Linked DNA regions of Canis lupus familiaris. The main gene of each other region encodes a partner of the protein of the gene in region 4 in a complex. Links are inferred from orthologs where the notes say so. Each region holds a gene or a part of one and is shown on either strand. Other genes may lie near its edges.

What was found.
Region 1: MFAP1 (region 4) and IK share a complex: the UniProt entries of both Homo sapiens proteins name them as parts of the spliceosome B complex. The link is inferred for Canis lupus familiaris from reciprocal best matches to the Homo sapiens genes MFAP1 and IK.
Region 2: MFAP1 (region 4) and ZMAT2 share a complex: the UniProt entries of both Homo sapiens proteins name them as parts of the spliceosome B complex. The link is inferred for Canis lupus familiaris from reciprocal best matches to the Homo sapiens genes MFAP1 and ZMAT2.
Region 3: MFAP1 (region 4) and SF3B3 share a complex: the UniProt entries of both Homo sapiens proteins name them as parts of the spliceosome B complex. The link is inferred for Canis lupus familiaris from reciprocal best matches to the Homo sapiens genes MFAP1 and SF3B3.

What each region holds. Positions count from the first base shown.
Region 1 is NC_049223.1:34,937,104-34,940,752, forward strand, and holds part of IK (protein Red), read left to right. Parts: intron 1-181; coding exon 182-241; intron 242-1,052; coding exon 1,053-1,220; intron 1,221-1,418; coding exon 1,419-1,533; intron 1,534-1,986; coding exon 1,987-2,057; intron 2,058-2,152; coding exon 2,153-2,199; intron 2,200-3,444; coding exon 3,445-3,608; intron 3,609-3,649. UniProt on the Homo sapiens protein: Involved in pre-mRNA splicing as a component of the spliceosome. Auxiliary spliceosomal protein that regulates selection of alternative splice sites in a small set of target pre-mRNA species. Required for normal mitotic cell cycle progression.
Region 2 is NC_049223.1:34,979,125-34,983,417, forward strand, and holds the start of ZMAT2 (zinc finger matrin-type protein 2), read left to right. Parts: upstream 1-1,386; 5' UTR 1,387-1,432; coding exon 1,433-1,450; intron 1,451-1,785; coding exon 1,786-1,879; intron 1,880-2,942; coding exon 2,943-3,066; intron 3,067-4,293. UniProt on the Homo sapiens protein: Involved in pre-mRNA splicing as a component of the spliceosome.
Region 3 is NC_049226.1:77,109,218-77,112,866, forward strand, and holds part of SF3B3 (splicing factor 3B subunit 3), read left to right. Parts: intron 1-712; coding exon 713-887; intron 888-2,066; coding exon 2,067-2,272; intron 2,273-2,369; coding exon 2,370-2,526; intron 2,527-3,500; coding exon 3,501-3,626; intron 3,627-3,649. UniProt on the Homo sapiens protein: Component of the 17S U2 SnRNP complex of the spliceosome, a large ribonucleoprotein complex that removes introns from transcribed pre-mRNAs.
Region 4 is NC_049251.1:10,844,022-10,848,385, reverse strand, and holds the start of MFAP1 (microfibrillar-associated protein 1), read left to right. Parts: upstream 1-1,555; 5' UTR 1,556-1,719; coding exon 1,720-1,798; intron 1,799-4,364. UniProt on the Homo sapiens protein: Involved in pre-mRNA splicing as a component of the spliceosome.

The DNA.
Region 1 (3,649 bases), on a different chromosome or scaffold from region 4:
GTTGTGATACTTTCTAAAGCTTAGGACCACTCACCTACAAATGTAGACCTGGATCTCTGCATGGTTGAAGCTGTTGCTTTGTTCCATAATCTAGGCCTTTCTTCATTCTTCAAGGCCACTTGTTGGGGTTTTCTGGGGCTCTGGCAATATTTTGCCATTAGTGAATTTCTCTGTCTTCTAGGATGCCAAGGGAGTACAATGAGGATGAAGACCCAGCTGCACGAAGGAGAAAAAAGAAGAGGTGAAGGAAAGATAGAGGAATGTTGGGCTATAGATTGGATAGTGTTTGAGTGAAAGGCATAGGGGCTAGTAGTTATGAGGCTAGAGATTAAGATTTTTCTGTATTGTCTTGAGGTTCTCTAGTGGATAGGAGTGATAAGTGGGAATTTAGGACTTTGGAGTCAGACTGCAGGATTTCAGTCTCAACTTTACCAGTTCCTGAAAAGACAAAAGATAACTGTGGGCATAGTCCCTAATATTTCTAATTCTTGATATTCTAATGGGTAGAACAGAGAGTGATTTCGTAACTTTCATCTGGTTGTCAAGAGGATCAATTATGATAGTGCATGTAAGCATTTAGTGCCTGGGATATTTTAATTACCCAATAAATCCTATCTGCTGTTGTCACCACCATCATTATCATCATTATCTATAAGATACTAAAATTCCTGGACCTGGTATTTTGCTGGCCTTTCTTTTTGGGGAAGACCAGCAAGGAATGACTTATTTTTAGTTGAAATATGGAAGGTGATATAAATTTAGATAACTTCTTAGTTGTCCTATGGAAAAGTCTCATAACCTGTTAGAGACTCAGTGATACGGCATTAAAGAATTCTGAAGTGACATGGAATGTCCTGAGGCAGCATTGAAAGAGTATCTCTCTGAACTGGATGAAGCCATAGTTCTGATTTTGAGGATTATCCGAGGGTGACAGCAGTACTATCAGGACATATATGAGCTTTCACCAGACAGTTGGATGAAATAGGAAGAATTCTACTGACCTTGGGATAGCAGCTGGTGAGCCTTATGCATTTGCTTTTCCATGGTCACAGTTATTATGCCAAGCTTCGTCAACAAGAAATTGAGAGAGAGAGAGAGCTAGCAGAGAAATATCGTGACCGTGCCAAGGAACGGCGAGATGGTGTGAACAAAGATTATGAGGAAACGGAGCTGATCAGTACCACAGCTAACTACAGGGCTGTGGGCCCCACTGCTGAAGCGTGAGTACCCAGGCTGCCAGGGCATGATTCCCTCAGCCTCCAGAGTCTTAAAGTCACAGTGTGAATTCTTCCTAATGAAAAATGAGCTTTCCCCACTTTGGAGCCCGAGCTGGGCCATTTCAAGAGAGACACTTGAAAGGCACTTTGTGAGAGGCACTCACAAAGGACTGTTTTAATGTGGCTTCTTTCATTATACAGGGACAAGTCAGCTGCAGAGAAGAGAAGACAGTTGATCCAGGAGTCCAAGTTCTTGGGTGGTGACATGGAACATACTCATTTGGTGAAAGGGTTGGATTTTGCTCTGCTTCAAAAGGTGATCCTTGGTGGGTGGGTGGAGAGTAATCATAGAATGCTGAATGCTCTTCTGTGGGCCTTTCAAGGTGAAGGAGGGGAGACTGTTAGCCCACACCATAGAGAAGGGCTAATGGTTCCTCCTATGTAGGACTAAGTGCTACTCATCCTTCAAGTCTCAGCCTCAAGGGTTGTATTTTTGGGGGGGCAGCCATCCCTGATCACCCAAGTATGGTTAAACCCCACTCCTCACTTCCCACTTCCTGTACCCTCCATATCTCTCTTATTTCACATATCACAGTTATCACATTTTTTCATTTGTCTCTTCTGCTGTAAGCTCCATTAGGGCAAGGACTGTATTGTCTTGTTCAGTTTTAAGTCCTTGGTTTCTGGCACAATGTGGTAGATAGTGGTGTTAGGTAAATGTTTGTAAAATGAATAAATGTCTAAACCCTACATGCTTTTTTCCTGTTAGGTACGAGCTGAGATTGCCAGCAAAGAGAAAGAAGAGGAAGAACTTATGGAAAAGCCTCAGAAGGAAACTAAGTGTGTAAACATCAGGGAAAGCTTCTAAGTTTAGGTGAGTGGGACTTAAAGTAGGAACACATTTGGCTAAAAGGAAAATTCTTTTGTCTTTTCAGGAAAGATGAAGATCCTGAGAATAAAATTGAATTTAAGACGCGCTTGGGTGAGTATAGAATTTCTACACTAGAGGTTGTGCATTTTAGGTAAATTATAGGGAATTTAATGCTCTGGGCAGAATATGCTTCCCCTTCGTGTCATACTGTTCTCTTTCTTGCCCCCAGATTAGTGACTTCTCTTAGAATACTCTACTAGAACTCAGATGTGGGGTTAGTCATTTCGTGTATGTTATTAATGTCTTAATTAGGTTGGAAGGTCTTGCAGATTGTAGCTTATGCATTAAGGGAGGTAGCTTACAGCTTATGCATTAGAAGAGCTAGCGTGGTTGGTGATTAAAAGCTCAGAATTTGGGACACCTGGGTGGCTCAGTGGTTGAGCGTCTGCCTTTGGCTCAGGGCGTGATCCCAGGATCCAGGATCGAATCCCACATCGGGCTCCTTTCAGGGAGCCTGCTTATCCTTCTGCCTGTGTCTCTGCCTTTCTCTGTGTCTCTCATGAATAAATAAAGAAAATCTTTAAAAAAGATTTAAAAGATTATTCATGAGAGACAGATAGAGAGGAGAGGCAGAGACATAGGCAGAGGGAGAAGGAGAAGCAGGCTTCTCACAGGGAGCCTGATGTGGGACTTGATCCAGGGGCCTCCGGGATCACGCACTGAGCCAAAGGCAGATGCTCAACCGCTGAGCCACCCAGGCATCCCAATAAAGAAAATCTTTAGAAAAATAAATAAAAGCTCAGAATTTACAGTCAAAGACTGGGGTTTGAATCCTACTGATAAAACCATATGAGGCATGTGATATTAGGCAACTGACTTCACAAGTCTCAGTGCCTGTTTGTCTATCTGCAAAAATGGAGTTAATTCACCTCATGGCAGCAACAAAAAACAGTATATGCATTGTAATTATGTTGCACATGTAGCTGAGCTGATTTTCCCATCATTGTCAGTATCCCCTTAAGCCTCATCCTTCTTCCTCATGGGACCTAATACAATGTGAGGCCCATGGTACTTTTGAGAAGGCAATGTAAAAGAGTGGATAGGAGCTCAGGCTTTGGAGTTAGACAGGCTGGGCCCTATTCTTTATTCCGTTGCTTAGTAGTTGTGTGAATTTAGGTAAATTGCTTCACTCTCAGCTTGAGTATTCTGATCATTTAAAAGGAGATGATAACATGTACCTTACAGGGCTCTTGTGAAAATTGAGGCAATAGTATGTGGCACAGAGTAAGCACTTGCTAAATGGCAGCTGTTGTAGAAGTTTCTCAGTGGCTATGCTTCCTCCTCTTCTTTTCATAGGCCGCAATGTTTACCGCACACTCTTTAGGAGCAAGGCGTATGAACGGAATGAGCTGTTCCTCCCAGGCCGCATGGCCTATGTGGTAGACCTGGATGATGAGTATGCTGACACGGATATCCCCACCACACTGATCCGCAGCAAAGCAGATTGCCCCACCATGGAGGTAAGTGATCCAAGTCCTGAGAGCCTGTCATGTGGGCCTCA
Region 2 (4,293 bases), on a different chromosome or scaffold from region 4:
ACTCCTGGGCTAGTGTGAGCAGCTATTCTGCATGGGTGCAGATGGCTGGTATGTGAAAGAGACATGCTCTAACTGCAGAGACAGATGGCAGATTTGAAGTGCCATGGAATGCTGCCAACAGGTGCTGAGATGGTTGCTTTGAGCAAGGCTCTAGGAAGGTTGCCCCAGGCTGGGACCATTGAGATAAGAAGTCAGATACGTGGCCTTCCATTGTGGCTTCTGAACCAGATTCTGGGAAATTTGTCCACAACCTGCCCTTGGCTTGTCCAGGGAGTATTGGGAGATAGCAAGGAAGGGGCAAATGGCTGCCTTCTCCTTTTGAGGACAGAGATGCTATCCTAAGGGCATAGGAGTGCTCATGGTTGTGGCATCTCTAGCTCAACTGCTGTTAGTAGAGTGAGGCTGTCTGTTTAGTAATTTTGAATGTTGAATTTAATAGGTGACTTGACAAGATGGTCTAATCTTTTGAGATTTTGGAGACCATTTCCTGTGCCAGAATTACTGCTCGACTATGTTCCATGTTGTCCTATGGAGGTGGCTGTTCTAGAAATGATTGGATAATAAATAAAATACTAAATGTAGTAGTTTGAGTGATTTGTTATCAAGAGATTGGTTTGCATAGGCCATAGAAAACCCTCAAGTGTACACTGCACAATTCTGAGAACTAGGAGCAACCTCCCTGGGGTGATGCTTCTGGATTCAGTGAAGGAAACAGTCAGTTTTCCAGTGCCCCCACTCCACCCCCCATCAACTTGGAAATACAGTCACGTCTAAATGAACATAGTGAGATGCATGCCAGAGTTCACCCTACAGCGTTGCTGATGACTGGCCTTTCCAAGTCCCATCATGTTGATTAAATTGTGCCCTATTGATTGAATGATTATAAAGTTCCTCAGTTGAAAGAAAAATGATTTAACCGAATGATGATAGCATTGCTTCAAAATAAAGAGTGTGCAAAAATTGCTTTCTATATATGCGCTGGAAAGGCTGCAACTTAGAGACACTGGGTGTCGCGGGCCATATCTTTAGTGCATACAGGTAAATAGGGCAGCTAGAGGCTCCTAATAATTCCTTCAGCCTTAAAAATTAGAAACTTGGCAAACGGATGCACAGTTGCTTAAGACTAGATCAAAGGGCCCTGATCCAAATTGCTTCCTTGTTTATAAAATAGACCAGTTGAATTAAATCAGATGATTGTTTAGAAAACCAAGGCAAAAGACATTAGTACGCGCCCTTACTTCCGTATTGCTTCATGCTCTCCATGCGCATGCACCATTTCCGTGGGTCAGAGGAGGGGCCGACGACCCTGTTTTAGAAGTCCTTAGCTCGTTTAGAACGCGAAACTCTAAGCTTATTGGAGGGCAAGCTTGCTTTACGGCTCAGGGCCGCTTTTTACGTCATTTTCCGGCTTCCCATTCACTTCGCAGTGAAGATGGCGTCGGGCAGCGGGGTAGGTGTTGTGTGTGAGGAGGCTTTGGTCGGGGGGCAGAGGGTGCCTTCGTAGCGCGGAATATCCTGCACCCAACTGGCTTCTCGACACCTCCTTGCGGCCCAATGGTCCGAGTTCAAGAGCCTCCTCGTAGGGTCCTGGCACAGGGTCTGTGGAATCGCGGAGAACTCTTGGGTTGGGGTCCTGAGGCCACCTCAGCCTTCTGGTGCGGTGTGGAGAGTCTTCGCTCTCGACAGGTCCGGGGGGTCGCCTTGCCGGCGTGGACGCGGTTCCCTCCGTTTCTCTAGGGTTCCGATATGATTAGCGACGAATCTTGAGCGCTTTTTTCCCTACAGACAAAAAACTTGGACTTTCGCCGAAAGTGGGACAAAGATGAATATGAGAAGCTCGCCGAGAAGAGGCTCACGGAAGAGAGAGAAAAGAAGGATGGTGGGTGCCTACTCCCTAAAGGGCAGAGGTATCGTAGAGGTGAAGCCATAGCTGGAGAGCGGGTGGGGAGTTGAAATGCGATGTCCTGGTTGGTACCTTGTGTAACCTCTGGCTGAATGTTGCCTCCCTGGTTCTCCATTTCTTACTGTATAAAATGGGAGGAAAGAGATGGACTGAATATACTCAGAGGTATTTCCCAGCTCTGTTTCCTGTGCTTTCTTGCCTTCTTTTTGCTTAGCTCGTTTTGTACTTTCTTCAAGTGCAGAGAAGAGAGGAGAAGCCTTAGTAGTGACAGAGATGTGGAGTATTTTGCTGCTATGCACTACTCCTATTGAGGAAACTCTTTCCGTTGAAGTCACTTAAGGGGAAGAATATAACTGGTCCAATCAAGTCCTTCCCCTGTGGTCTGAGAAGAGTGAGGGTACTGGGAGGAATGTGTGATTGTTTCAGCTGGTGGTTAGTAGTACTGTTTCTCTGCTTTGTACAATGTTACGGAGTTGATTCTCCTCTCCTAGTTAGAGAATCCATTATACAAAAAGAATCCTTATTTTTTCTTATGCTTTCACTTTACTTTCACACCACCTTGCACAAACTGATCTTTTTAGTTTTGATCTAATTTGTACAGTAGCAAGTAACAGATATTGCCTGAATGTTGGTCCCATTTAGAAAATCTTCCCCAGCCTTCTAGAGATTCTTTTTTGTGTGTTACACTTGGGGTATCTGTCTGAAAGTATTACTGAGTGTCCTTGCTTTTCTTTTAAAAGTTTACTCTTTGTGAAAATTAATTCCTTTCTTCAATTCAGTTAACAATAAAAAACTTTGTTTTTAGACTTATTGGCTTTGAAGTGGAAAAAAGCTATGTAGAGTTTAGGGATTGCATATCATTTTTTCCTGTGTTGAGATTCTCCCTAGTTGCTGCTACAAGTGCTTTTTGTGCCCCCTGCTTCAGGCTTAAGAAAGAAATGAAGAGTAGACATCTGTGTATTGGGTTTCATGCATTTCTTTTCGTTTCTGCTTAAGGAACTCTAATAATAAAAGGACTTTCTTCTGTCTTATATTTTAGGAAAACCAGTACAGCCAGTCAAACGGGAGCTTCTCCGGCATAGGGACTATAAAGTGGACCTGGAATCCAAGCTTGGGAAGACAATTGTCATTACCAAGACCACGCCACAATCTGAGATGGGAGGGTGAGTGACTTTTCATCTTTTTCAGGAGCCAAGACTAGGTCTAATAAACTGTGTTGATTTTAGCAAGTGTCGAGGAGAGGTTCTCTGGCTCCAGGATAGCAATCATGTTACTTATAATTCTATCTTTATTTTTATTTATTTTTTTAATAGTCCTACCTTTAGATATTTCTTTGTGTCACTCCTGTTCCAGGCCTCAACTAAACATGGTAGTGTCTCTAGGAGGAGTTACTCTGTAGACCTCTTCATATTGGCACTGTAACTCTTTCTTAATATCTGAAGAGGAAGAAATGAAGGAAAGGACTCCTGAAAACATTTCTAGGGGAGAGATTTCTCGAGCTAGAATGGAGCCTAGAAGCTGTTGATGGTGAATAAAGGGAGTTGAGGTTCCAGACTGGCTGCAAAGGTTGTAGTTGTTACGGATTGCTTGGTTGTACACTTTCCTCCTAGACCAAGACTATGACCCATGAGAAGAGGTGTCCTGTAAGGACTTTTGTTTTTGCCCACCACTACTACAGTATTCATTTACGTTTTCTAGCAGGAGAGCAAAACAGATAGCAATGAGTGACATGTCTGAATTGCTTAGAAAACTTACATCAGGGATCCCTGGGTGGCTCAGTGGTTTGGCGCCTGCCTTTGGCCCAGGGCATGATCTTGGGGTCCTAGGATCAGGTCCCATGTCGGGTTCCCTGCATGGAGCCTCCTTCTCCCTCTGCCTGTGTCTGCCCCTCTCTCCCCCCCTCCCTGTTTCTCATAAATAAATAAATAAAATCTTAAAAAAAAAAAACACCTCACATCATTCTTTTCTGTATTAGTTACCTATTCCTGTGTAAATTAACTAACTCACCAAAATTTAGCAGCATAAAACAGATAGCTAACAATTTGGGTAAGTAATCTGGAAAGGCTTAGGGTTTCACAAAGCTGCAATGAAGGTGTCTGCTGGGTCTGCATTCATATGAGGCTTAAGTGGGGCTGAATGATTTGATTGAAAGCTCTTTCATGTAGTGCTTTGGAGGCCTCACTTCTTTGCCCCATGGGCCTCTAGTGCTGTTGACAATAAAGCAAGTGGCTTCCCAAGAGTAAGACATGGACAGGCTATTTATTTATTTATTTTAATTTTAATTTTTGTATTTTTTTTTAATTGGAGTTCGATTTGCCAACATATAGTATAACACCCAGTGCTCATCCCGTCAAGTGTCCCCCATAATGCTCGTCACTCAGTCACACCAA
Region 3 (3,649 bases), on a different chromosome or scaffold from region 4:
CCTGCTGAGCATGGAGTGTACAGAGCCCATTGCAGGGCTTCATCCCAGGACCCCAAGATCATGACCAGAGCCAGAATTAAGAGTTGGATGCTCGATAGACTGAGCCACCCAGGTGTGCCCCAAGTGACTATATTTTTAAGAGTACTTAGGTTCTGCTTATTTTGGACATAGTTTGGCTTAGGCACATCTCTTGGTCTCATTTGACAAAGGTTGTAGGTCCCCTACTCACCATCTCTTTTTGTATGGTTGCAGGTTTCCTGTTTTAGGTGATTTTTGTTCAGGAGAGCACCCACTTTATTTTAGGAAACACAGCACAAATACTACATGTTGAGGCAGTTTCAGTAATTTAGAATGAATTTGGAATTGATGTTCTTTTTTTCAGAGTTTGTCAATAATAAGAGGAAGTTTTAACTCTTTACTGTCGCGTTATCACTGGAGTGACAAAAAAAAAAATTTCACTAGTGAAAACCAGAATTGCAAAAAAAAAAAAAGGAAAAGAAAACCAGAATTGCTGTTGCTGAAGTAGAAGGCCCTTCTAGGATTTCCTTGTTTTCTGTGCAGAATCTTCTAGGTTAGAAGGCTGGTATTTGATGTTAATTTATGCTAACATGAGAGCTTTAGAGATTGATGCATTTGTGTGACTGGTTTTATACTTTTACCTGAGTTTCTAGACCCTGAGTGATCTATTAATTCCCTGCCTTTTGCACAATAGGATTTTAGCGTTGGAGAAGCTAGGTGCTGTCTTCAATCAAGTAGCCTTTCCACTGCAGTACACACCCAGGAAATTTGTCATTCACCCTGAGAGCAACAACCTTATCATAATTGAGACAGACCACAATGCCTATACTGAAGCGACAAAGGCTCAGAGGAAGCAGCAGATGGCAGAGGTAATGTAATGAGACTGGCCTTCAAGGTTCAGCTAAAAAGCATTCATGTGAAATTTTGTTGAAAAGTTTAAACTCGTGTAATTGTTGATTATATTCTGTTAGATTAAAAAAGACCCAGGCTGGGATGCCTGGGTGACTCAGAGGTTGAGTGTTTTGCCTTTGCTCAGAGTGTGATCTCGGGGTCTGGTGATCGAGTCCCACATCAGGCTCCCTGTGAGGAACCTGTTTCTGTCTCTGCCTCCTCTCTCTCTCTCTCTCTCTCTCTCTCTCTCTCTCTCATGAATAAATAAAATGTTAAAAAAAAAAAGACCCAGGCTTTTGTCCGGTCCTTTAAGCAGACCCCTTTGCCTGAATCCTTGTTTTTAGAGATTATCTTGTGACTCAGGACTAATACACTGACCTGGGTTTATTCAGTATTCAGCTTTCCTTTTGAAACAGAGTTCTTCAGTCCTTGAGCTTCCCAAACAGTTTATGTATGTGTTTCCTGGATTCAGGCCCAAAGGAGACAGATTTCATTTTCTCCGTAACACTAGTTCTTTCCAGAAATCATCTCCTAGCAAAAAAACAAATAGCTCCAACCATGTAAAGCTGTGTCTGGCTTGGAAGAGATGAGACAAGGATTTGTAGCAAGGGAAATCAGATGCGATAGGTAGAAAAGTGGTGTTTTCATTTTATGTATCTCAGACCACTCAGGTATTTGCCGTAGTTGATGTTAGGGTTTTTTTAGGCATTAAAAAATGAAGTACCTGGTTTCCCCTTTAGTGGTTTTCCCTCTTCCCCTTATCTGTATACCTCTCCCTTTAATCTTTACTTTATAGGAGATTTGTTTTTGGCCTACAGACTTGGCTACTTACATGATATGAATTCCCCCTGGAGGTGTTGTATATTTGTCCACTTCTCACCCACTACCTACCTCTGAATATACCGACTCTTCCTTTTTTTTTTTTTTTTTTTTTAAGGTTTTATTTATTTATTCGTGAGAGATAGAGAGAGGCAGAGATCTAGGCAGAGGGAGATGCAGGCTCCTCTCAGGGAGCCTGATGCAGGACTTGATCCTTGGACCCCGGGATCACATCCTGAGCCCATGGCAGACCCTCAGCCGCTGAGCCACCCAGGTGTCCCATCTTCCCTGTTTTGTGTGTTTGTTTTGTGTTTTTGTGATTGATTGATTGATTTTAGGAAATGGTAGAAGCAGCAGGAGAAGATGAGCGGGAGCTTGCTGCTGAAATGGCAGCAGCATTCCTCAATGAAAACCTCCCTGAGTCCATTTTTGGAGCTCCTAAGGCTGGCAATGGACAGTGGGCTTCTGTGATCCGAGTGATGAATCCTATTCAAGGGAACACGCTGGACCTTGTCCAGCTAGAACAGAATGAGGCTGCTTTTAGGTAAGGAGCACAGGATGTCCAAGGTTTTGGGAGCTGGAATGAGAATACTTTATATTATAACTAATGCCTGACTCCTGCTTCTTTCTCTTTTTTGCAGTGTGGCTGTGTGTAGGTTTTCTAACACTGGTGATGATTGGTATGTCTTGGTGGGTGTGGCCAAAGACCTGATCCTCAACCCCAGGTCTGTGGCAGGGGGCTTTGTCTATACCTACAAGCTCGTGAACAATGGGGAAAAACTGGAGTTTTTGCACAAGGTAGGAACCAGCCAGTGGTACTCCTGTGTCTCTGGTCCAACTGAAGTCTCCCACTTTTGCTTAAGTTGTGGGTCAGGTCTTTTGGTGACCATTTTGGGAGCCAGCTCATTGATTATGTTCCGTCTCTTGGTGGGACACAGAAACGCTCTGGCTTTCATGCTCCAGTGAAGCTCCACTGCCCGGGGGTCCACAGGAAGCCTGTGTTCTAACCATCCACAATGATGACTTAGATACACACCGAATTGGCCCCTTGTTTATTGCTTTTACTAAGCAGACAGCAATTTGTGACCAAAATCTAGTAGATCTAAATAATTAATAATCTCTGGAGAAATGCCTTTAATGGATAGTTTCCCTTTGGAAAAATAAAGTTCTGGGGATGGTGGTGGTGGTTGCACAACAGTGAAAATGTTTGATGTTATTGAATTGTATACTTAAAAATGGAAAATTTTATGTGTATTTTATCGCAGTTTTAAAAATAAGGGAAAAATTTTCCTGTTCTTCCACATGGACAACAAATGCATGTAGTTCCTCTAGCCCTTTGAAGCACAGGGAAGTGTCCCCTACAAAATAACTACTTGTGGACTTTTTTTTGTGTTAAACTCATTGTATCTCCCTTAAAACTAAGAAGTCACTTGTCACTCCTTTCCCATCCCTCCACAACCAGCAGTCACTTTTTTGATATTGAGGCTTCACTGTTAGTGGCACCAGTTGAATTAACACAGGCTCTAAGACCACATTCATTAGGCTCCTTTGACTTGTGACATTGATCCATTTGCTAAGTGATTTGCAGTGTGTGGGACCTGTTTACGCAACCACCCCATTTCCTAGAGACTGTTGTATGTGTGGTTTATTTCTCTGATGAGCCAAAGGTGATCACTCACTGTTTCTTGTAAAAACATTTTTGGTTGAGAGGGTGGGGCTAGCCTATGGCTGGTGTCCTAATAGCTACATTACCTGCTTTTTTTTCCTCACAGACTCCAGTGGAAGAGGTCCCTGCTGCCATTGCCCCATTCCAAGGGAGAGTATTGATTGGTGTGGGGAAGCTTCTGCGAGTTTATGACCTGGGGAAGAAGAAATTACTCCGAAAATGTGAGAACAAGGTAAATATGCTGGTTACAGAACT
Region 4 (4,364 bases):
TTACATGCCGTATGTTTAGGCTAGAAAATCGAAACCAACATGCAGTCTTTACCTGAGTCCCCTGGTTCCTCATAACCCGCCCCCCCTCAAGAAAATCATGCCCTGTGGCTATCATATTACCTTCTTCCTAGGAAGGGAAGCATTTTGATTTTTTTCAAGAGCTTATAAGCTGGTTTAAATTTCACCTATTTATCTGCCCACCAGTTAACTAAGAGCCTAGTGATGACCTTACAAGGCCCAAAGGCCAGAAAAAGTTGTGAATCGAATCCTTGTGTCACAAAGTAACAAATAAGATTTTAGTGTCCTGTATTTCTTACAGTCACAGCCATATTTAACTTTTTTTTTTCCTATTCTTTGAGTTGCTGTGAGTCAAAACAATCGTTTTCTCATATTTACTCCATCTGGACAGCATGGTTTTGGAGCTGTTAAATTCAAAATATAAATTTCTACCTAGTCTATTTTTAAGACCCTTTTCTTTCTACCCCATAACTGCTTCCTTGGTCAGTTACATGGATCCTTCACTGTTCCTTGCTCAAGACTTGCCCCATTTTCTTTTCTTTCCCAGTCTAGACCCAATTTTACAACATAGGTGAAATGATTTGAGAACTAATCCTATTAACAGTAACATCAGGGCCCTCCATGATCTGGTTCTCACCAAACTTTCACCACTCCTTGACTCAAAAATCAAACAAAATCAAACTTTTCAGTGTTTGATACATGCCGCGCTATTTGTAGACCTCAAGACTTTGTTCATGCTGCCCCAACTCTCCCTATCACAACACTTAGGAAATCCTTTCTGTGGTGAAATGCTTTCTGACTTCCAATAAACCAATATATATATATATATATATATATATATATATTTTTTTTTTTTTTACAAATCCAGCTAGTAAATTGATTGCCCTAGAAGACTTCCTAAATAAAATTCAAGCCTTTAAGCAATATTCTATACTCCTTAAAGAGCTAAGCACAGCAAACTCAGCAAGTACTTAATAATTACTCATGTACTTATGTAAAAAGTCATGTCTACACAGGAATGTTTTAATAGACGGTGTTGAGAAACTGAAAAAAACTGGAAAGCCTAAAAGCACACCGTTCTGACTCCAAGCATTCATTGTTTCAGGCACCTTACGGGATTTTTTTCTTTTTTTCATGGCAATAGCGTAAATCATCAACACCTGCCCTCACGTGAGGAAAAAAAATACCTCACCACAACCCACTCAGCCTCATCAACTGAGCTAATCAGGGGCTATTATCAGGACTTCTCTTCTCATTAAACTCCAATTCTGAGCTTTCAAGAGTCTGGACAAACTGCCTTTCTCTATCCACTCAATTCCTTATTCATCACTATCTCATTTTCCTCAGCTTCACACAAAGCTAACAAAAGAAACCCGTAATTCGGACCTGCCTCGCCACAGGATCTTAACAGCAAAGGCCAACGGGAAGCAATTTCCCGCCAGAAGCGACGTCCAAACTCTGCGAGACGGAGGAAGCTAGAGCAGCCGAGGAACATGCGCAGTAGCAGCGTCCACGCCCACAATCCCACAATCCTCTGGTCGCATATTTCCGGTTTTTCTATCTCAGACGTAGGTGGTGTTTCTATCTGTTGCGCGGTCGTGCCCAGTGCTTCCAGAGGAGGTTTTTTTTTGTCGTTGACGTTGTTGCGGTTCACTGTTTGGAATCACTGAAGTTTCGGGAATCGCTGCGGCTGCCATCAACATGTCGGTCCCAAGCGCACTCATGAAACAACCGCCCATTCAGTCTACGGCAGGGGCCGTCCCGGTTCGCAATGAGAAAGGTACGGTGCTGAGCCGGTTTCCAGTCGGATTTTACCTCTTCCTTTCCCAGCGTACTGCAAACCTACCGCAACAGACCACCCCAACCCTACCGACCCTTAAGACGCTGCCCCCAAATATCCTCGACTTTTCCCATCAAACTCGCACCCGGTCGCGTTGCCTAAGGGGGAAAATACCCACTTCCATCTCATCTTGTCCATATCGCCCGGCGGCTGCTCTCACAGCAAGCATCCCTCGTCCTTTGGCCTCCACTGTTAAGTTAGACTGTATACACAGTAAATGCCTGCTTTTGCAAGGCGTTGTGCGGAATACGGTCCCTCTTTTGTTTTCCGTAGCAGTCTGTGCCGCTTCTGTAACTCTTCTGTGTCTGTCTCCCTCTACTGCATCATAAACTCAAACGTCCTTGAGACAGGAACCGTGTCTTATTAAACTTTTTATTCCTTTCAACCAACGCTGTGACTGTATGAAGTTGAATACACACTTGTGTGAGGCAGTGCCCTTAATTAACCTAAAGAAACTCATTTTGTAGGTGTGAGACCTGCAAAAAGAGACATTCTAAGCAGTGTGATTCCTGTCACATAGGTGATATAAACCAAACGATATGGAAGTGTAGAGAAGGAATGATCTTTTCAGATTGAGGTAATCTAGGAAAGCTTCTTGAAGAACATGGCATATAAACCGATCCTTAAAGGATCAATAGAATTCCAGTGCAGATAGAAGGAACATGTTTGGAAGGGGTTAGACTAAAGAGTCCCTTTTTTTCAGGAAGGATTTTGGAAAATAATATGAGCTCTTTTTTTATTTTTTAAACATAACAGTACATAATCTTGTGCAACTTGCCTTTTTTTAAAATTCAAGGTGGCTTTTGAGAAATATCCTTTGATATATAAAGAGCTAATTCATTCAACTACTTATAAATTCCATTGTATAAATGAACCAGTTTATTCCTTCCTGGGGGACAGTTGTGTTGTTTTTTCTATTATAAACAGTGCTGTAATTGGCCTTTTTTTTTTTTTAAAGTAATCTTGACACCCACCTTGGGGATCAAACTCATGACCCCAAGATCAAGAGTCATGTGCTCCACCAACTGAGCTAACCAGGCACCTGTTGTAGTTGTCATTCTTAAATGTGCCTCTTTAGTGCACTGTGTAAGAATTTCTCTAGGGTAGACTCCTAAAAGTTCATCATCAACCTAACTAGCTATTTCCAGTTGCTCTCCACAGTGGGTTGTAAGAGCATTAGGAGTTTGTATTTACCCATATATTCATCCACACACTTAGTTGTATCAGATTTTTAAATTTTGTCCAATCGAATTATGAAATATCTCATTATTTTAATTTGCATTTCCCTGATTACTAGTGAGACTAAGCATTTGTCAGCTATCTAGGTGTTCTCAGAATTAGCTGTTTCTGTCATTTATCCATTTTCTACAGTTTTTCTACATCCCAGATCTCTCATATCTTTTTCCTATTTTGTTTTGGTTCTTTGTCTTGTCTTTTCACTTTAATTGTGGAGTTTTCTGTTTCATAGGCCTTTTTAATTTTAGTGTTTTTGGATTTATCAATTTTATCTTTTATAGCTTGTGTTTTTTTTTTTTTTTAAGATTTTATTTATTTATTCATGAGAGACACAGAGAGAGAGAGGCAGAGACAGACACAGGCAGAGGGAGAAGCAGGCTCCATGTAGGGAGCCTGATGTGGGTCTCGATCCCGGGTCTCCAGGATCACGCCCTGGGCCAAAGGCAGACGCTCAACCACTGAGCCACCCAGGCGTCCCTCTTGTGTTGTTTTGTATATTGTGTTAAGAAATCCTTCCCTATACTGAGATCAATTATAAATATTTTCTCAGTGTTTCTATATCCTAAATACGATTGAATACAAAATTGCGCAAGACAGATTCTAATTTAAGGAACTTGTAATCTAGGAAGGATGTAAGTGTTTTAAGATTTTTTTTTCACACGTGGGTCCTTAATCCATGTGGAATTTTTTGTGGGTGTGGTGTCAGAAATCTAATTTTGTTTATGGTTAACCAGTTGTCCTTACAATTCCATTGTTTGACTAACCCATCCATTCTCCACTGCTTTTTAATGTCACTTCTGTAACATACCAAGCTCCTGTGTAAAGGTTTGTTTGCTCTGTACTCTGTTCCATTGGTCTCTATATACCCCGGAGTCATTAATATATTGTTTTAATCACTGTAAGTTTAAACTAAGCCTTGCAATCTGATATAGAAACCCTCCTCCACCTCACTACCTTCTTTTTTTTTAAGACTTTACTGTTATTAAAATTTTATTTATTTATTTATTTATTTATTTATTTATGAGAGTAAGAGAACATGGAGGGTAGGGAGCAGAGGAAAAAGGAGAAGCAGGCTTCTCTTGCAGTGACCAGCAGGGAGCTCAATGTGGGGCTCCATCCCAGAACCCAGAGGTCATGACCTGAGCCAAAGGCAGATGCTTGACCAACTAAGCCACCTGGGCACCCCAAGACTTTTATTTTTTTATATCAATTTTATGTTTACATTTCCCATATACCCTCTGCTCTGACACATGCATAGCCTCCTCCATTA